4 separate regions of the Mus musculus genome follow, and all the other regions are reported to be linked to region 2. The links are microRNA targets in miRTarBase. Many come from high-throughput screens and were not tested one by one. Region 2 holds a microRNA gene; each other region holds the end of a gene's coding sequence. Distances are from middle to middle.

Region 1 (5,069 bases), not on the chromosome of region 2:
GGACCTTAATGTAGCTCTCACTAATGTAGACAGTTCACTACAAGGCAAACTAGTCTACTGGGTGTGCATTTTTAGCGTGTGTTTGCCACGAACTATCGTTTTCTACTTCAGGGGGGTTGCTAGTTTTAATGATCCCATTTCTTTCCCAAGTTAAGTGTTGTACAGAGCATCTGTCAGTTTTTTTTTTTGGATTTTCTTTCTTTTTCTTTTTTAGGACTCAGCAAGAAGCAGCTGCCAAAAAATTCTTTTGACCTTCATTTTCCTATATGTACATCATGTATGTATGTGCAAATGTTGTCTTTTTGAGGGAATTTAGTATTTAAATTGCTTCATAGTCTAAGTTATTAAATTTTGTATGAAATAACTCTTGAAAACATTCACTTTTCAGTAAAAAATAAATGTTAAAGACAACCACATTTTGTTCATAGTACTACATGTCTTTAAATGTCAGTGAGTCTGTGGTAGGCAGAGTGCAGCCTCTGAACAGAGTAATGGCAAGTCAAGACTTAAAGACAGTCGGGGCAGCCACTGGCTGTGGGTGATACCCTCTGTGTCTATTATTGGAGGGTTCTTTATTTATGTAAATAAACTTATCTTTTTCCCCCAGAATATGAGGTCTAAACAAGAGCACCCTATTCATGTAACCAAAGGCATTTTTAGAAGTGAGAATTCCCTAATACGAGACTGGATTTAGCCATCCTTTGGCCCTAACATAGCTCCTTCTGGGATCAGTGACTTGTCTGAGAGCTTTAATCTAAATGCCAGGAGTCAGCGCATTTAATGAAATGCTTTTCTCCTGTGTTCAGTGTGCATTTCATTTTTAAAGGAGATTTTGGTGGAAAAACCAACTAGTTTCTTGCCTCCATCATTTTGGTGAGAACAGTCCTATGGTGAGAACTTTTCGGGGGTATTTCCCGGTAGTGTATTCACTCCGGATGGGGGGCACTGTCCTGAAAATGTTCCGGTAATGTCAATGATAGTATGGAAATAATTTTTATACTTTTAATTTGTGAAATTCATTTCTCCCATTTTGTCGAACATGTAGTTTAGCTCCAATTGCATGTTCTGCGGCTATTTTAATTTACAGGCCTTACCAGTACACTCTGGTTTACATTCAATCTCTGTAACCCAAGTTTATGACTTGCAAACTCTTAAACAGAGGGGACTGTAGTGGAAGCAGCTTTGAGCTAATTGAAAGCAAATTTGTAAAGTAAATACTTAACTGTTTGTCCTTTAAACACTAAAAATAAGGATGTTGTGAAACATCCATTAGTGAATTAACCAGGAAACACTGGGCTGGAAAGAGTTGCTGTCAGCCCAGAGTTAGTCGTAGGGATTTGCGAAACCATCTGTGGCATTTTAAAGTGCAGATTTCACTTTTCTTTTCACAGCTGGGCTAGACTTTCGCTGGCTTCAAGACAATTTACCTCTTACTAAAGTAATGGGCTCGTTTGCTATGGGATCCAGAACAACACTGTTTAGTATGTCCTTCCAAAATTGTTGTAAGCCTTTGTAAGTTTCCTCTCAAGTGTCATTTGCATTTTTGTCTGACAACCTGAAATCTATAGAAGACTTTATGAGAACACTTACATTGTGGCACTACCTAGCTTGCACCGTGTGTGCAGTCTTGCATTTTCTGCTGGCATTTATCCTAGAAGTGTCACAGCACACTCACAGTGACTCCACAAAACTCACTGCAGCACACAGTGCTCCTGCTTCCTCCTCTGTGGAGCTAGCATTTGACACTCGTGCTCTAACGGAGTGTCATCTTCCAGAACTCACTTACATTTTTAAAAACTTCCAGACAAGTGTCAGATTGTAGACTGTGAGTCTTGGGAAATCTTCCTGAGATAAAGGCTACGAAAGCCACTGTTACAAAGTCCGCAGTCATGTGTGCCTGAATGCTAAAGGAATCCCAAATCTGGGCAGTGTACACTTTCAGGCTCAAGTCCAAGGGGAAGTACACTGGTCATTCCTAATGCGATTGCAGACAGTCAGTATAGTGGAGCAGGAGCAGGGGTCCTTTTACTTCTAAATTTCTTTTAAAAAATCACTCAGCAAGGTAGTTCACATAGTCTGTCTGTATTTGTTTCTATCAAAATCATTAAATCTAAATAGCTCACTTCTGAGCAAAACCCTGCTCTGTGGGAAATTATCACTGCCAGAACTCCTTCATGTCTGTAGTGTCTTGTGTGATTGGAATAATTCAACTTCTCACACCAGCAAGTATTTTACAGGTGCCTTGGATTGAGACAAAATTTATTTTAAAACTTTAAATCTTTATTTATGATGCCACTTTTAAAAGAAATCTCAATTATGTAAAATTGTCGATGGGCTTGTTTAATATGCCGCTTGTGATAGAATTATTTAAATGCTTTTTTCAGTTAAAACTTCACCGTGAAGTCACAGACAATAACCAGTATTTTATCATGTATTGAAGGCACATAAGTGTTTTTCAGAGTATGGCCCATGGGCCAACCATTCAGTTCCTGGAATGCTTATTAAGAATACAGATTCCAAGGCCAATTCGAGTCCATCCATGTCACAACTCAGGTGGGCTTCAGAGTGTCCATTCCCCAGACACCACAGACATGGCACACTGACAGGTGACAAGCACTAGAATGGGGGTAGGGGAAAGGTTTGCTGGGTGTTTATTATGGGCTCAGAGCCGAGCCATGCACATTTTCACTGTCACTGAGACCGGCGTCTGCTGGTTCTTCTGTACTCTTGAGTGTTCGCTCACCAACTCTCCACTCACTAACAACTACAAACCAAGTCCGGGTTGTCGGCTGACCTCTCGGCTCCCGGGTGATGACTCTGAAACCTGTACAATCATCTTTGGCTCATGGCAGAGCATAACCGCGCCCATGGTGAAGCTTGCCTGCCAAAGCCCTTGCCTTCCTGACGGTCACCACTGCTCATCTCAGATGCCGCGCACGTCACTAGCGTGAGGAAAATGGGAAAGACTTGAATAAGGGTTGCTCACCTGCTGCTCTCGGAGAATCAGTCTTGTAAAGGACAGCCCGCTGTGGTTACCCATGCTGACTCTGCAGCGCCCACATGCTGGTTGGAGGAAGGCAGTGAACGCTTTAGTCATCAGGAACTTTGTGAGATCAGGGTGGGATCAGCTCTTACAACTTCTTAAATCTGTATGCTGCCCGTTTTAATATATTTCTCTTCTGATGTTCAAGTTTAAAAGGGTTTTCTATCCACTGTCAATTTTAATTATATAACATTTTGTCAAGGTTTTGTTTGGTTTTGTTTTCCCTTTCTGATTGTTACTTGATGCTAGCTGGAATTCAAGAAATGTCAATGACTTTATTCAAATAAAAGAAATATTTTAGTAAATTGGTTTTTTCCTCCATTGATGTCTGTATCCTGCTGTCCTGTTTCCAGTTGCTCACAGAGCAGCTGTAAGAGAGGAACTCTATTCATTCCGCTTGTAATTTCCAGTCAGAGCCCATCATATGGGGGAAGCAAGGCTAGTCACATCCAGTCAAGAGCAATGAGAAGATGAATATATGACTGCTCACTTGTGCTCACACCTGCCCTACTCTTGAAAGTCAGGGAGTGGTGCCCCCCACAATGAATGGTCCTTCCCACCTCCATGAACACAATGAAAACAGTCTCCAAAGAATACTCAAAGGTCAAACTAAACAACCCTCAATGAGAGGCTCTGTTCAGGTTATTATTCTAGATACTGTCAAGTTCACCTACAACTGATAATCACACCTCCCCTAGGTGGCCTGCCATCTGTGACCTCATGGAGAGCTAAGGAGGTCAGAGGACAGTAGAAGTAGCAACAGGATAAACGTTTGCCTCGGCCAGTGATGAAAAGAACGTATTATATTAGTTAAAGCCATGTATTGGTGGTTTCACCCTTTAATTACCAAATGCTGAAGGCTAGGACCATAGAGCATGGATAAAACCCTGGTCCAGTGTGTGTGGGACGCTTGGGTCAGTCCCCCAGCTGTACACAAAATACATAAACAGTCAAACGCTGGCGTCAGGGTTGGTATGTTTAGCTGGGATGTTCACTCATTTCTAATTAGTAGCAACCTAATTAGTAGTCAGAAAATCTCATTAGTCACCAACGGTGGGAGTTTTTCTAATTCTGGCGCTGAGGAGGTGGAGGGAAAGGATGGAAACATTGAGCCAGTACAACCTGATAGCCATGTTGTATACATTTCCTCAAAGAAGAGAATATACCACAAATGAGCCTCAATTACAGGCACAGGCTCTAGCGTGAAAGGCCCAACTGGTTTTATGCTATTTGTATGTGATCTTTCTAAAATGCTGTCCCACTAATGGGATGATTGCTACTCTAGTAAAGACCTCAAGTCAGATGCCAAAATTGTTTTCAAACTCATTAAGTCACAACTAATAGGCATTTCTAAAGGTGAGCCATTAAATCAAGATTGGACCTGATTTAAAAACAAAACAAACAACAATAACAACAACAAAAAAAAACAACACACACAGTAGCCAGGGCAGCAGGTAGCCTAACTCTCCCTCTTCTCCAGATCCAATCTCCCACTCTCAGCCCCAGCTCTATAGCAGATCACCTGCTGCCTCCTGCCCCATCTCCAATGGCTCACACAGTCTTCCCCCCACCCCCATCACTTCATCCCAACCCCCAACATCAGCAGGTATTCCCTGGGAACCCTGAGACCACTCAGCCCAGGAAGCAGGTAGGCTAACTGCAGATCTTGATGTCTCCCTAGGCCTGCCACAGAAGCAAGTAGGCCAGCAGAGCAGGGAAGCATGCTTCAGATCTTCATGCTCCCTCCTGTCCTGCATACTAATCCCCCAATCTCACCCAGCTCTCTAGTAGACTACCTATTGTAGCCTCTCCTCCTGCTCTGCCCCTCTTCCTAGGGGGACTAAGCAGACCCTGATGGAACGCCTTACTTTCCTCCCTCTTCCAGATCACCACCACTCCTAGCCCATCCCCATCCCTAAATAGCTTCCAATACCTAGAAACACGTTTTTACCCAGACCTCCAGGAAGCACTCCCTACAGGCAACATAGAGCCACCACAATCTCCTAAGAACCAAAGAGGGCAACAG
Region 2 (5,073 bases):
TCTTGCTAAGGAAAAAAAAAAAAAAAAAAAAAAACCACAAAAACCAAGCCTCAGTCCGGCGCTCGGGTGCAATCTTCCCGCTCGCTCGCTATTTGGCTGCTTATTACTTCAGGTTCCTCAGCATCCCGGAGCGGCGTCACGAGCACCACTGAAGCTGCTCACGCAATTAGTCTTGACACCACTGGGGACGACTATGTTTTCCTTGAGGCCGTGTTCTGCTTTGTGTACATGAGATCAAAACCCAGGCTCGGGATCACTCGTTAGCAGCTCCCATTGAGGCTGGCTGACGACGCTGGTGGAGCAGAATGTGTGGCTCTTGCCTTGGTCAGCATAGAGTATAGACCCAGCCAGGAATGCCCCAGCCAGCAGAGTGGGGCTGAAGACCTGGGGTCGAAGATCCAACAGGCAGATGAGGATGGGTGCTATCCCAGGCAGGCCGTGGGGGAGGGAGCTGCTAGTGGCTCCCGGAATTCTGCACACCACAGATCTCATCTCTGGGGCCACTCAGAGTTTTCCAGGTACCCATGAAGACCCAGGTGCCTCTGCTAAGTGGATTGACTGACTCTGCGAGAGTCACGGTCGGCACAGAAAGGATTTGGGAGAGCGAGCTAGGGTCTACTCCGCCTGCTTTCAACTCACCTGTGAAGCCTGTCTGGATGCTATTGGTGCTTATGATGGTAAATACTGAACATCAGGAGTGTTTACCCTGCGACAGTGTCCATGGCAGTGCCCAGAGAACAGTGAGGGCTCAATGAACGTCTGCTTGATGGGAATCTGGGGCTGTGCTGAGCCGTTCACATGGGCCATTTCATTTAATGAACTCTAACAGGCAGATGGAATTATCCCCAATTAGACAAGAAGAAACCAATGTGCCAGAGGTAAAGGAATTTACCAGAAACCATTCAGCTCCCAAGGCTATCAGAACTCCCAACATTCTGTGCCTGCCAGTGACACTTGACACCTGCCTCTTAACTTGTTCCTCCCTGAAACCTGTGGCCATCAAACACGGGGACACAGGGACTCTAAAATCTGGCTGCTCTTCAATGCGTGAGGGAGACTCCCCCACACCTGCATCCATCCACAGTCACAATGGACGGGTCTTGTGGTTTTGTCTGTGGATAACTGGTTTCAGGTGGCTGCATAAAGCAACTTCATGGAGCATTTGTTCCAAATGCTCCCAGTCACCATGGTAACCAGAAACCTCTCAGCCTAGCAGTGTGCACATGGCCTGCATCTATCGCATCTGGGGTGGGAACCTGTCACCGTAAAAATAGCTTCCTCCACCTTAACAAAGGGCTCTTGGCAGCTTGGGGGGTGTGGTGGAGGGTGGAGAGGTTGGGATGACGGCTGGGAACAGGACGCAGGATGCAGGACACAGGATGCAGGACGAAAAGGACGCACCTTGGCCAAGCTGGCAGTAAAGAGCACACACTCAAAGAGCTGCCCCATCCTCTGGAGGAACTCGTCCACGTGAGGTCGCTTCAGCACATACACCTGCGGTGGGAGGAGACAAGAGCTGTCAGTCATAGCATCCAGGGACAGCGTGGGCCTTGGAAGAACTGCCAAGGGGCCCTTCTCCTGTTGCCAGGCCTATGTACGATTTACTGAAGCTTGCACTAGGTTCTGCGTCTCAACCCTTGTAGAGAGAAAGGAAAGCCGACCACGTCGTCAAGGTTCTTGAGTATCTTCGGAGCCAGTAAGCAGAGCACAGCTGTGCCATGTCCAGTCGCAGTTGCTCATGCATCCACTTGGCACTTGCTGAGTCAGCCCCTATGTGGCCACAGGCCACAGCCTAGGTGCTGTCCTTCTGGAAGTCTAGGACTAGCTGCGGCCTCCAACTCTGAACATCCCTGCCCCCTGGGGTTAATGCACTTGAAAACTTTCTAGTGGACACCATGGAGGTCACCCTGCTTGTGTAGGGGTACAGAAAGCACTTCACATGGGTAAGGGGCTGCTTCCCACAGTTGGGCTCTGTGTATCCTTCTGATCAGACCAGACAGGCCTGCGAAGCAGCTGGTTTCACCTAACACCCAGGCTGCAGTCTCTGGAGGCTAAAGGAATGTGTAGGAACTGGAAGAGAGAAAGCAAAGCCAGGGAGAGGCAGTGGGCAGAGGGAGGGACCAATTAAAACTTGAGTAAATTCCACTAGAAGTTAGCTACATCTTTAAAATAAAACATAATTACCAGGTCTCAGCGCTGTGCTCAGTTCAGCTACAAGGCTGAATTGGAGCCCCCAATCCTCTGGAGACTCGTGTGGTGGGCCTTGCCGGCTCAGCTCACTCAGTCTTGAGCACACACTGACAGAAATTAGTGAACACAAGAAATCTCACAGTGGGGTATTCATTCAAGATAATTCTCCCTTCCAGAGGGCGTCTCAGAAAGCAACATCTGGCCTTGACCTTGAATAAAGAGGAGCTCACACGCTGAGAGAGAGAGAGAGCTGAGCCTCCAACCCGAGCAAAGTGTGAACGTGAGGATCGGAAGCGTCACAACACTTGGGTTTGTGTTGGGCCAAAGCCTGTGTCCACAGCCAACCATAGGCAGTGAGAGAAGCCCTGGAGGCTGCTCAGGGAGGAAGCAGTTAAGGTAAAGAGCTAAAGGTAGCAGTAAGCCACAGGGCCTCTAAGGGCAGACAGAGCAGGGGAGGGGGCTGCGGAAAGGGAGAGGAGACACAAGACTGCACCCCATGCAAGGAAAACACACTGCAGGACAGACTTCCTAGATGGAAACACTGCTTTGCAGCATGCCAGGAAAAGGCGCTTCCTAGGGCAAAGACCTGGAGAGAAAGCGGCTGGCTAGCTTTAGGAGTGGGTTGGGGGTCTGGCTCTGCAGCTGAGGGTGGAGAGAGGGGCCAGAGGAATATAGGTGGTCTATCCTGGGTGCCACCAGGATCCTGCTGAGCTGGGGTGTTGGGCTAGGCTGAGGGCAGAGCTGTGTGGCTGTAGCAGCTGCAGGACCTGCTTTGCTCATAACACTCGTTGTTGCTGGTGCCAGTGACTGGGTGTGGCCTCCGGTCCTGAGTCTCCGGGAGGACTGCTTGGCCAGCAAGCTTGGCTACAGGCAAAGGGTTGGAGATGGACGGGGGAAACTCTGTTGTTGCCGCCTTTAGCAGAAAGGAGGTTCCTGGGCCCAGATGCCGGCGTCCAGGCCCGCGTCCCCGTGCAAGTAACCAAGAATAGGCCCCTTGGGACCTGCACAGCCTATCCTGGATTACTTGAACGAGGCCACGGCCTTCGCCAGGGCCTCGGTCCTCCAGCTTTTGTACCTTCCTTCTCTCTGGAGTTTCTGCTCCCAGCCCTGATGCCCGGGGTGTCTACTGCCAAAGAGAAGGGGCAAGGGAAGCCGGGGTGGGTCCTGCACTCCGGACGTGCTTGTGGCCACGTGGTGTGAAGAATTATTTTCTTGGGCAGTCCTCCTGAGCCTCACCTCAAGGACTCTTCGACTTTAGACACAACAACCAGCGCAGAGGTCCTAACTGCATGGCGGGGGTGGAGTTAATTCAGTTGGTGCTTTGTGAATGGTAAGTGACCAGGTGCCTGAAACCTTCCCAGGTCCTATGTCCTGTAGGACAGGATAGAGAGCTAGGTGGGGGTAAGGGAGACAGGGGGAACCAAGTCTAAGGAAAGAGCCCTGGCTTAGGAGTCAGGAAATCTTATCCTGATGATTGTCATATATAACCTTCTGTCTGGGCAACGGAATGGCTAAAACAGCTGATTTCACAGCCCTGGATTGTTCTAAACTGCACTCAAGAGTTAAGGAGCCTTATTGGCATCGTTAAGAAATGACATCCTGTGTGGCCCAGGAACCAGGAAATGTCTGTCCCTTCCTGGGATATGAGGCCAGATACTCTCCCCTTAAGGCCTTGAGTTTGATGGGGGAGACAGTCTGTCCCATCACTCCTAAGAAACATGTGGCAAAACTATATCTACCTTAACCTCCAAGGCGAGCTTTTCTACCATGTTTCTAATGTATTCATAGACGAAGTCATTTCCAGAAGAGCTTGCTGATGACGAAGAAAAAATAAAGAAGAAGCAACTCCCCCAAACAAACAAACAAACAAACAACCCCAAAACAGAAAACCCCAAAAACCGGAAGAAGATTGATGCCAGCTGACGATGACAATTTATGCACAGCACCCTGCTGGTCTTAACACACCCTTCCCCTTTGCTCTGGGTTGAGTATTTGCTAAAAAAGACACTGGAGAAAACCACATGGGCAGAGAAGCTCTCACGGGAGCAGTTGGCATCAAAGTGGACATTTTTCCCAAGAATGCTCCGTCAGTGGGTGACTGGTGGCATTTTCCTGTTGCTAGGAGAAGCCAAAAGCAAATGCATGATGAAGTTGACCAGATGTCAAACCCGGCCAGCGGTGGGGACAACTAGGGGATTGCACAAAGGCTCCTAAAAGTTGAAATCAAATCAGAGATCATACCTAATATTTATTAACAGAAAAGGGTCCTCATAAACACGGTAAAAAGCAAATGCATGCATGAGGCAGAGAATCATTCACAGTATTTTTATTTAGCTTTTGAGACAGGGTTTCTCTGTGTAGCCCTGGCTGTACAAGGACTCGCTTTGTGGACCAGGCTGTCCTCAGACTCAAGAGATCTGCCTGCCTCTGCCTCCATGCCTGGCTTACTATACTTATTATACAAAGTTTGTTTCCTGAAGTTAGAATAAAATGGCCACTGAAGTGAGAATTGAAAAAATGATGTTCCCAGGGAGTGTGGTTACAAGAAAATGCTCTCTGGAACTGCAGGCTAACTCTGGTTCCTTACCTGGTGTATGGTTCCGTCGATTTCAACAGGAACAATGAAGTCAGCATTACTAATGGGCTAGAGAGAAAAGAAATTGTGATTAATACATATGAAAGGAAAGAGAAAATTGGAAATTGTAGCAAGAAAGAAGCTTGCCTGGACCAATGTTTTGACGATGGCAGGAAATAGTTCACAAGGATGCTGGCAGAGGCCTTGGGTCCTTGAAATAAACATGTAGGAAGGAGTATTTCTTCCTGTCCTGAGTGTCCTGGAGTTCCAGCATCTAGCCCAATCTCTTGGACACCTGCCTGCCTCAA
Region 3 (5,069 bases), 43 Mb from region 2:
GGAACATGCCTTGATCTTAAATTCCCGGATTTTCCTAAGCCTCAGTAGCTCTCATACTTCCTTTCAGACAGTACAAACATCAGGCATAGTAGGTGCCATTGTGTACTAAATACAGTTCATTTTCTCCACCCTACCAGTTCCCACTTCATCCTATTTCATAATTCTGAGTCTATGTATGGTTTTAAAAAAGCATTCATTTGTTCCTGGGAATCCATATAAACTTAACCAGTTTGTTTCTTTGTATACAAGAAAGGCATCATTTTTCCCAATTCGGTTTCTAACTGTAATCTTCTCCCATCCATTACTGATTTATTTTCTCTTTCGTCAAATTCTATGATTGTCCTGCTTAAACATTAGATATGCTTGCAAATTGTACTGAGGTATCTTCTTCATATTATGTTTTAATAAATAAATAAAGTGGAGAAATCTAAACCACTGCCTACATGGTTCACGGAAATAAATGCTGACCCTGAACTGATAATGAACAAAACAATGTTTCCTAATTTTAATCAGTTAAGCCACTACTAGTGAGATTAAAACAATTGTTTTCATCCTTTTTTCTTTTCTTTTCTTGACTCTCATCCCTACCCTACCTGGTGTCTTCTTTTTTTTCCCTTCCAGGGTGTGGATCTCTACAAGGTGATGGAAGCTGGTGAGTTTATTTGCAAGGCAGTGAACAAAACTACAAACTCTAAAGTCGCACAAGCCTCCTTCAACGCTCGCCTTGAATGAGTTTGTGATTTAAGAAAGAGCAGAGCCCTTCCAGCCCTAGTTCATCACAGTGTCATTAGTGCCAACACATTCTGAAGTGGAAGTTAATAAAAAGAGCTGGGAGAGGAGCTATGCTTGGATAGACCGTGAAGTGGATGGGGCAAGACAAGGCGTCTGTTCAACTGCAAGCTGAGAATGAGCCCCACTGCTTGCCCTTCTGGTGGTGGACAAAGCCTGCTCGTTTGCTCTTACAGAAATCATTATATTTTTTAGCTTAGTAGAACTGAAAATTGACTTCAGATTTCTCTAAGTATCAAGTGCTGTGTTAATGCCTCCTCAAGCCACCTTACCGCAGGGTACACATTGTTAGTGGTTTATGAGCCTCGACACAATGCAGAGTGTGTGGCCCTGAAGTTGTGTTTCCCCCCCCCCCTCTGGATCCTAACTCTCCATTTGCCAAGTTTGTTAAGTTGTGGACCAAGAGCCAAAGTTTCATCCGACCCAACATATTTTTTAGCAATAGAACTTTTATATTTCGAGTGCGGCTAACATCTGTTAACTATTTCAATGACTTTATTGTGCTCCAAGATGCTGTGGTCAATGGCAAGAAGCCACATCCTGAAAACACACCATACCTCCCATGTTTGTTCTGTGCATCCAGTTTGCTGTGTTTTACATTTAATCAATTGTAGAAAAAAAATCCACAATGTTATTTAAATATGGAGAAACTCTATGGTATGGTTTTTATTCTGGTGTCTAAGGGACAGTAACAATAGTAGACTGATATAGACACCCTAGTCTATTTCCATAATATCTAGTTTACTTTTAAATGGCCCAAGGAAATACTACTGTGATTTTAAGAATGTTAATATAATTTTTAACTGATGAAAAGTCTGTTTTCATTGACTTATTATTTGTATTCTATATCTGTTTGTTTTTATTTGACTGTAGAATATTTATTTTAAAGTTGAATGACAGAAATATTATCTCCAGTGCCAGAAAGCATTGCCAGGGATAATGAAAATTAATACATTAAAGATCAAGGCCTGGGATATGGCTCAGTGGTTAAGAGCATTGACTGTTCTTTTAGAGGACATAGATTTGATTCCAAGCACCTGTATGGTGATTCAATAGTATTTGTAAATCCAGTTTCAGGAAATCTAATGACTTCTTCTAGCCTCTGCATGACTAGTCAGGCAAGCAAGATACAGTCATATATGCAGGTAAATTACCAATTAACAAAAAACAGCACAGACATCCTAGAAAATAGTAAAACCATTGAAATGAAAATATTACAGAAAATAAAAGGGATATTGATTAGAAGCAAAATATCATTAAAGGTATATAGTAGGAAAAATTGGAACAGAAACATACGAGTTGACAAAGAAACCTAAATTTCCATGGAAGACTCCAACTTGTCAGCTTGTAACCTTTCTTCTGTAGGTTTTGTTCCAGCATCCTTTTCTTCTAGAGTACTGAAAGCAGTTCTGTGCTTGGGGGCTCAGGTTGGAATATGGATGACACAGAGGCAGCAAAGTGTCATCCAACTGTGGATCTGCCTTAGTCCTAGCTCCCTGCTCATCTCTCTTTCAGACTAGGGCACTGACAGGCGGCAGTGGTGGCGGCGGTGGCAAAAGTGCACTTCTTCCTTCATTTTCTGAGGAAGTTGATTTTTCCCTCTCAGAGACCTGGAGTGCTCAGTTTTGAGATATTTGTGAGAACATGTGTTTATGCAGACTACTTGTAAAAACAGTGACCAGCATTTTTGTCTTGAAATGAAGCTCAAAGTTCTTTCAAAGACAGTGCAAATAGAAACCTCAGAAATAGTGTTATACAGTTATATGGTGCCTACCTCAGTGTACCAGTTGACTTTCATGACCACCTTGATATTATCTAATTGCACTTGACACAGACTAGTTTATATGTTCTTATCTCTCCCTCTTTCTCTCCCTATACTGTCTTAATTTCTTAGGAAGAGTATTCTCAACTTCTTTCAGCTATCCAGGAAACCTTGCAGTCATTGCATGACCCATTGGAAAAAACAAACCAAAAAGCTCACCCACATGTATTTTGATACCAAAGTTTGCTTTGGTTTTACCTAGAAAGGCTTAAGAATGACAAGGCAAGTATGACTTTTGTTGAAATGTGAATGAAAATAATCTTTCTTCACATCTCTCCTTAAGGTAAGACTAGCTATTCTGTCTCCTGGAACTTGAAGTATGTTTTATCATAGAGATATGTTGCTGTTCTATTATTGCTAGGACTGTTGGTAAGTAGCTGATCACTCTACCTAGGATGTGTAAGAACCTGTGTTTGATCCCTCAGCCCAACAAACCAACAAGCAGAAATAATTTTGCTTTCTGAAAATTAAGAATTTTTAAATCTGATGTTCATGAACTTAGAGCAAAAAAATTTAATCTGGTAACTTTCTAGTAAATTTGATGTTCTCTTTACATTTTTAGCATTTTGTTTACCATAAAATTTAATAAAGACTTTTTTAGCTGTATGTATATGGCTCTTAATTTCCACATGTATGCTCTTAATTTTGATAATTGTATGTACTGTATCCTGTAAATGAGGAGTTCTCAATATGAGGCAAAAGATTCAGCTTTGAGTAAATAATTCATACCTATTGTTCCTTTCATGGTTGTAAATATGTAAAAACTAAAGGCTCAGATCAAAAGAAATATGAATTACAATAATAGACAAGGAAGATTCCAGTAAATATCCTTGATCCTTTTGCTCTCATGAACTAGAAGATATGGATTTTGTACTTGAATGGGGTGGGCCCCAAGCTGAAGAGGGAGTGTGCAGAAGAATAACATCAGAGGAAAGGCCAAGGGGAGGGGATGGACTAAGGGAGAGGAAAGAAAGAGAAGAGAAAGACAAAACCATCTTTTGTTTTTGGCCAATGAATACCTATACACTGTGATGGGCCTCATCAGTTAGGATATTTAAAAACCCCAAACAATACATTTTAAAACTCACTTATCTGACACATTTTCAGAATTTGGTTTTCCACCAATGTTTAACTCAGTGGCTCATTCATGTTTCAAGGACCCTTCCCAACCTAAGGTGTCATTCACCTTCAGACACTGGGTCCTAAGAGTGCAAGCTCATTGCAACTCTTCAAGCCTGCATTCCACACAGTATGTGCAAGGCCTTTTCTTTTCCTGTGACTTTTTATTATCAAATTACAGTATACACTTACACTCTTCCAAACTTCTACTCATGTTTCATTGAGCAGCGTATTGTTACAAGCCCTTTCCAAAGACATTTATTCCATAGGACTAGACCAGGAGTGAAGACTAAATAAAGCATCTGGGAGCAAGCAGTAAAGAAATTCTCATGGAAGTATATACTATAGTGAGAAAGGAGAGATGTGAGTTTGTAATCGCAAGGAAGAAGCCTGTATCTAACAACTCTGAGACAGAAGGGAAGGGGAATAATTTTTTATTTTACTTCAATGGTATAGTCTTTAATATGGATGTATCGTAATCTTGATCAAGTTTGTTATTTTTGCCAGTTAAAAAAATTAAATGGTAGGAAAAAATGTCACTAGGGACCTGGAGATAAATTCTCAAACACAGCAGATGTCAGCAGACAAAAATCAGCCAGAATAAAAGACTTTTATTAGGGGTGAGAAAACACATATACACCAAGCTCATAGAGAAATGAGTCTTAGCAAAGCACAGAGAAGCACAGGAAGCCAGAGTCAGGTCTTACCTTCAGGGCTGTGGGTATTATGGGTCTTCATGGTGGTCTTCATGCCCTAAGTTAGGGTTGGTCAGTTTGAACAAAGACAGACAAGCTGATACATATGACAACTCTTTAAGGTCACTGTGTGGTGAACGCATGACATCATCAGAGCTTCATCAGACTTAACTTGTTCAATTGATGGTCTCTTGCAGATGTTTCAAGTAAATCCATGTTCATCTATATGTTCTATCTCCAGTTTTACCACACAGCCAGTGACACATCCCCACTTGCTTTAGGTACTTTCTGTTTTTATTACATAGCACCTCCTCTATACCCATTGTCCCTGGCTCAGTCTTCCTTACTTCAACTGCTTTTTGGCTTCCTCTTCTCCCATGTTTTAAATTTCAAACTTAAATCACAGAACTGCCTCTATTTGCAGTACTTACCATTGGGTTCGGGTCAGCAGGATTGTCGTACCAGGTTCCTTGTGAGACACGCAGACCCACGTGTCACAGCTCACATATTAACAGAACCCTTGCAATCGAGTAGATAAGTACTTGCCTGTTCTGCTTAGTTCAGATTTTTGGGCTGTCTAATAAACATCAGAAGCCTTGTGTTGAAATATTTTATAGCACTTTCCTCATCAGGTATCGTACCCT
Region 4 (5,069 bases), not on the chromosome of region 2:
TCCAGACTCCTCATACCTGGATGGGGTGTCCCTGCCCGACTTTGAGCTGCTCAGTGACCCCGAGGATGAGCACCTGTGTGCCAACCTGATGCAGCTGCTGCAGGAGAGCCTGTCCCAGGCGCGATTGGGCTCGCGGCGCCCTGCGCGTTTGCTCATGCCGAGCCAGCTGGTGAGCCAGGTGGGCAAGGAACTCCTGCGCCTGGCATACAGTGAGCCGTGCGGCCTGCGGGGGGCACTGCTGGACGTGTGTGTGGAGCAAGGCAAGAGCTGCCATAGCGTGGCTCAGCTGGCCCTCGACCCCAGCCTGGTGCCCACCTTTCAGTTGACCCTGGTGCTGCGTCTGGACTCTCGCCTCTGGCCCAAGATCCAGGGGCTGTTAAGTTCTGCCAACTCTTCCTTGGTCCCTGGTTACAGCCAGTCCCTGACGCTAAGTACCGGCTTCAGAGTCATCAAGAAGAAACTCTACAGCTCCGAGCAGCTGCTCATTGAAGAGTGTTGAACTACATCCTGGGGTGGGGTGCGGGGAGGGTTTCTCACTGCCCCCCAAAGTGAAGACAAGGAATTTCTGTGGTGGAGACCCGCAGGCAAGGACTGAAGGACTGTCCCCTGTGTTAGAAAACTGACGATAGCCACCTGAGGGGCGCAGGGCCAGGTGGGGGAAGGAAGTGTTCTCCAGGAAGTCTCTAGGTTGTATGCAGGTGGCTCCCTGTTGGGGCACACGCCCCTCAGTACTGTAGCATGAAACAAAGGCTTAGGAGTCACACAGGCTTCTGGCTGGATGTGTATGTAGCATGTACCTTATTTTTTTTTATTACTGACAAGTTACAACAGCAGTTGTGGGCCAGAGCCAGAAGGGCAGCTGGTCTGCACTGGCCTCTGCCCCGGCTGGGGGTTGGGGGCTGGGGGGGAGGCAGGGGGAGGTGGCCGACAGTTTGTGTATCTTCTGGTCTGAAAGGACCTAGTGTGTTTTGTCATTTGTTTTGTATCTTGGTTTTGGGGGGTGGGGATCGGCGCTTCACTACTGACCTGTTCGAGGCAGCTATCTTACAGACTGCATGAATGTAAGAGTAGGAATGGGGTGGGTGTTAGGATCATTCGGGATCTTCGACACTTGAAACAAAATTACACCTGGGAGCTGCAGCCAGCCCATCCCGGTGCCCATGTACTGGAGGATTCAACTGTGAGGAGAGGGGCTGGGGTGGGGGTGGGGGGCTGGAACCCTCTTTTCCCAGAGGAGTGCCACCTGGGTCTTCCATCTAGAACCTGTTTACATGAAGTTACTCGCGGTTCATGAATACACTTGATGTTCAAGTATTAAGACCTATGCAATATTTTTACTTTTCTAATAAACATGTTTGTTAAAACACTTGAGTCTCATCGGCGCCATAAATGAAAAGGGAGAGTGGTGGGTGCTGGTCACAAGTTTCATCAGATTTCAGGGGCCACTTGTGTGTCCCCTGACTGCCTGGTAACTGCCATCAGAGCTCCTGGACTGCCTGGCAACCTGGGAACTGTGCCATCAGAGCCAAGGTCCCTCAGTTCTGCTGAGTGGAGCTACCAGGAGAATGTGCTGGAAAGCACCCGAAGGTGAAAGATGAGTCAGACCTCCCTGGAAGTCTGAGTCTCTACAAGGAGGGTTACCTTGCTCTCCAGGTGAGAAGGCCCAGTCTCCTTAGCCTAAGGCCTTTTCTCTGAGGAAAAGTCTAGACTGATGTGGTACATAGTCAAGGGTATGGTTTTATCTCTGGGTATAAAAAAAGGTTAAGAGACCTTTGCAAAAGACAATTCAGTTTAAACCTCTCCCTAGGCAAGAAACCTAGGCTCAGGAGATGTGGCCCAGGCAGGAGCAGAGACCATACAAAGGCAGGGGGATGACGAGGGTGACCCCTGACTTCCTTCCCAGACAGAAGGCTGGAGTTGGGTTTCTTATCAGAAATGTTGGAGTTGAGCCAAGAAGGCCAAGGCCTTTCTCACTTGTCCCCGACTCCAGAGTCCACCCACACCAAGTGGCCCTTGGAGAATGACTGTCTCCTTTGTTTCTCTTCCTGATCCCAGACTGCCTTTGTGTGCCCCAAGACTGTAAAAAAACGGTTCTTGGTTTTGCATCCTTTTGGAGGGCTTAGTTAGAACAGTTCCCTCAGGCTGGGGATGTAGCTCAGTGTAAAGTACTTGCCTGACAAGTAAAAGACCCTAGACTTATCTCCACATCTCCCACCAACCACAAAGGAAAGCCAGATCCTTCCAGTGAGCTGAAAGCAGAGACTAAAAACATCTGGTTTTCCTCGGGGATTCTATCCAGGACCTGACCTTTGGGGTAGCCCAGGAGACCCACATCTCTTTCATAGAATCCTCAGAGCTTATTCCCCAAAATGAGTAAACCTGAGTTAGAAGCCAGGTGTGACAGTCAATGTACAACCGGAATCCCAGTACTTGAGAGGCGAAGGCAGGGGGATTGCCATGAATCCAACCTATATAGTGAGCTTGAAGCTAGCCTGGGCTGTAGAGTCAACTCCAGACTTGCCTGGACTAGTCTAGATGAGTTTGAGACCAGCTATAATAACATAGATTCTACTTCTCTCAAAAATAAAGTAAAATAAAATAAAGCAAGGGAAGGAGGGTGGGAGGGAGGATACAGACAGCCTCACCTATCTTAGGGTCCCTCTTAGTAACCATCCTAAGAGGGGTAGGTTGGGCAGGGGTGTTCTGTAATGTCTTTGGGCATGGAGAATGACCATCTCTTCAGACAAAGGCTGACCCATGCTCACTCAACCTGAGGGTGCAGCCCACCCCCACCCCCCTTTAGCTGACAGATGCTGTTCATAAAACTGAGACTATGACATTGCTTGCTCCTCTGTGTTCCTAACCCCAAGCAAAAGCCAGGAAAGCCACAGCCAGCCCTTCCCCTGCCTTGGTATCTCCAGGTCTGAGTGGGTCCTTCCATTTCAAAGCTGGTCAGATGGAGGTAGGAGGAAGGACTGCTTTCTTAGAACCAGTGTGACCCAGAAGCCTAAAAGCCGGCTCAGCACCAGACTCTACTCTCTCAAGTAACCTCTGCCAGGGACATGGGCCTCTCTGCCTTTCCTTTAAAACCCAGAGAAAAGTATCAGCCTTCTAGGTCTCTCCTCTGCCTCCCCCCCCCTGCATCCTTCACAATGGCCATGTTGAAATCTTGGCAGTCCTAGATGTTATTGTATCTGCTTCCAGCCCTGCGGGGTGCTCTAAGGTTCCTCTGGTGTATAGTGTCAGAATCATCAAATACCCACTCTCCCTAGGCTCAGGGAACACTAGGGCCTTCCAGCCTCGTGAGGAGAAAGTGCAGAGGAGTGTACTTGTTCTGTATGCCTATCAGCTAGCTTAGGGAAACAGTACAGGCTTTGGTGCAAAGGATTGAACCCAGAGCCTTATCCATGCTAGACATCTATCTGCTTTGCTAGCTGAGCCTAATCCCCAGCCCGGGAGCTCTCAGAGGAGGTCTGTTCTTTGTAGCTAGAGCTGCATGATTTAGAAGTGATGAGCTCTGGGTTCAGACCCTGACTCAGACATTTTGTAGCGGATAAATGAAAACAAGTCACTTGATCTTTGTGGTCTGTAAAGAGGTGATGACATTGGGAAATGACTCTGAAGAGGATGTCACTGGGCTCCACTGTGGGCAGAAAAAAAAGCCAGCTCTGGGTTCGAGCAGTCCTAGGGCTAGCTATAGAACAAGTCCCCTTCCACGGGGACTCCTTGGCTCTCTGCTCTTGTTTTCCTCTTACATCTTTTCAAATGTCAATATTTAAAAAAACAAAACAGGGGGCTGGTGAGATGGCTCAGTGGGTAAGAGCACCCGACTGTTTTTCCGAAGGTCCAGAGTTCAAATCCCAGCAACCACATGGTGGCTCACAGCCATCTGTAACAAGATCTGACGCCCTCTTCTGGAGTGTCTGAAGACAGCTACAGTGTACTTACATATAATAAATAAATAAATCTTTAAAAAACAAAACAAAACAAAACAAAAAACAGTCTTAAGGGACTGGAGAGATGGAACAGCTCTTCCAGAGGACCCAGGTTCAAATCCCAGCACCCATATGGCAGCTCACAACTGTCTGTAACTCCAAGATCTGACACCCTCACACAGACATGTATGTATTCATACATGCACACATACATCAGTGCACACAAAATAAAAATAAATAAATTTAAAAGTTTTAAATAATTGTGTTTGAAGCTGGGCAGTGGTGGCCCATACCTTTTAATCCCAGTACTTGGGAGGCAGAGGCAGGCAGATTTCTGAGTTCGAGGCTAGCCTGACCTACCGAGTGAGTTCCAGGACAGCCAGGGCTACACAGAGATACCCTGTCTGGAAACAAACAAACAAACAAACAAACAGAAATGAAGAAGAAACCACCACACTGGGGAGTGAACCTATACTGTCACACATGCTAAGCAAGCATATGCTTGATCATTGAGCTACCCTCCCTCCCTCCCAGCTCAATCTTGATAAGTTCTCATAAAAACCATCCTGCCGGGGGAACCTCCTCGTCCTCAGCCAGCCATCTGCCTGCCTTGTCTTCTGAGTTAGACACATAACTTTCCTTTTATTTTACCTTGTGGTTCAGAGGAAATGTTGAGGTCCAAAGTGTCTTAGGAGCATGTGTTTGGGGGCCTTGAGGAAAGGTGGTCTCAGACCTCCGGGACCTCTCATGTACCCCATACTCTCCAGGCTTCCAGCTCAGGTGACCTTAGATAGGCTGCATCCGGCCTTTCCCATTGGAGATGGCCAGTACTGGCTGGAGGATCCAGAGAAAGGTATCATTGTACAATAGATCATTACAAGACATTGTCATAATCTCCAAGTGAGGGCTGGAGAGATGGCTCAGTGGTTAAGAGCACTGACTGCTCTTCCAGAGGTCCTGAGTTCAATTCCCAGTAACTGCACGTTGGCTCACAACCATCTGTAATGGGATCCGTTTTGCTCTTCTGGTGTGTCTGAAGACATCTACAGTGTATTCATATACATTAAGTAAATTAATTAATTTTTTTAAAAAACCCTCAGATGAGGGATTTTTATGACAGTCACAAGTTAGACA

The links. The annotated mature microRNA mmu-miR-26a-5p reads UUCAAGUAAUCCAGGAUAGGCU and lies in region 2 at 3,198-3,219, opposite strand. An mRNA with a match to its seed (bases 2 to 7 or 8) in the 3' UTR can be bound and repressed. Matches are read on the target gene's strand: a 7mer-m8 pairs with bases 2 to 8, a 7mer-A1 pairs with bases 2 to 7 and ends in A, and an 8mer does both.
Region 1: miRTarBase lists Lman1 as a target of mmu-miR-26a-5p. The part of its 3' UTR that is shown has no 7-base or 8-base seed match.
Region 3: miRTarBase lists Hmgcll1 as a target of mmu-miR-26a-5p. Seed matches in the 3' UTR shown: 7mer-A1 at 2,922-2,928.
Region 4: miRTarBase lists Ddit4 as a target of mmu-miR-26a-5p. Seed matches in the 3' UTR shown: 7mer-A1 at 1,110-1,116.

Annotation. Positions count from the first base shown.
Region 1 is chr18:65,979,033-65,984,101 of GRCm38, reverse strand. Lman1 (lectin, mannose-binding, 1) reads left to right here. Exons shown (of 13, transcript NM_001172062.1): 13 at 215-415. The coding sequence ends at 251. Among named protein-coding and RNA genes, the nearest start is that of Cplx4, 11 kb to the right of the region's middle.
Region 2 is chr9:119,029,957-119,035,029 of GRCm38, reverse strand. Mir26a-1 (microRNA 26a-1) reads right to left here and starts at 3,234; the gene lies at 3,145-3,234. It overlaps Ctdspl (CTD (carboxy-terminal domain, RNA polymerase II, polypeptide A) small phosphatase-like), which reads right to left. Exons shown (of 8, transcript NM_133710.3): 5 at 4,778-4,834; 6 at 1,402-1,494.
Region 3 is chr9:76,133,134-76,138,202 of GRCm38, forward strand. Hmgcll1 (3-hydroxymethyl-3-methylglutaryl-Coenzyme A lyase-like 1) reads left to right here. Exons shown (of 9, transcript NM_173731.2): 9 at 622-3,217. The coding sequence ends at 732. Among named protein-coding and RNA genes, the nearest start is that of Gfral, 78 kb to the right of the region's middle.
Region 4 is chr10:59,945,966-59,951,034 of GRCm38, reverse strand. It overlaps Ddit4 (DNA-damage-inducible transcript 4), which reads left to right. Exons shown (of 3, transcript NM_029083.2): 3 at 6-1,360. The coding sequence ends at 499. Among named protein-coding and RNA genes, the nearest start is that of Ddit4, 3.3 kb to the left of the region's middle.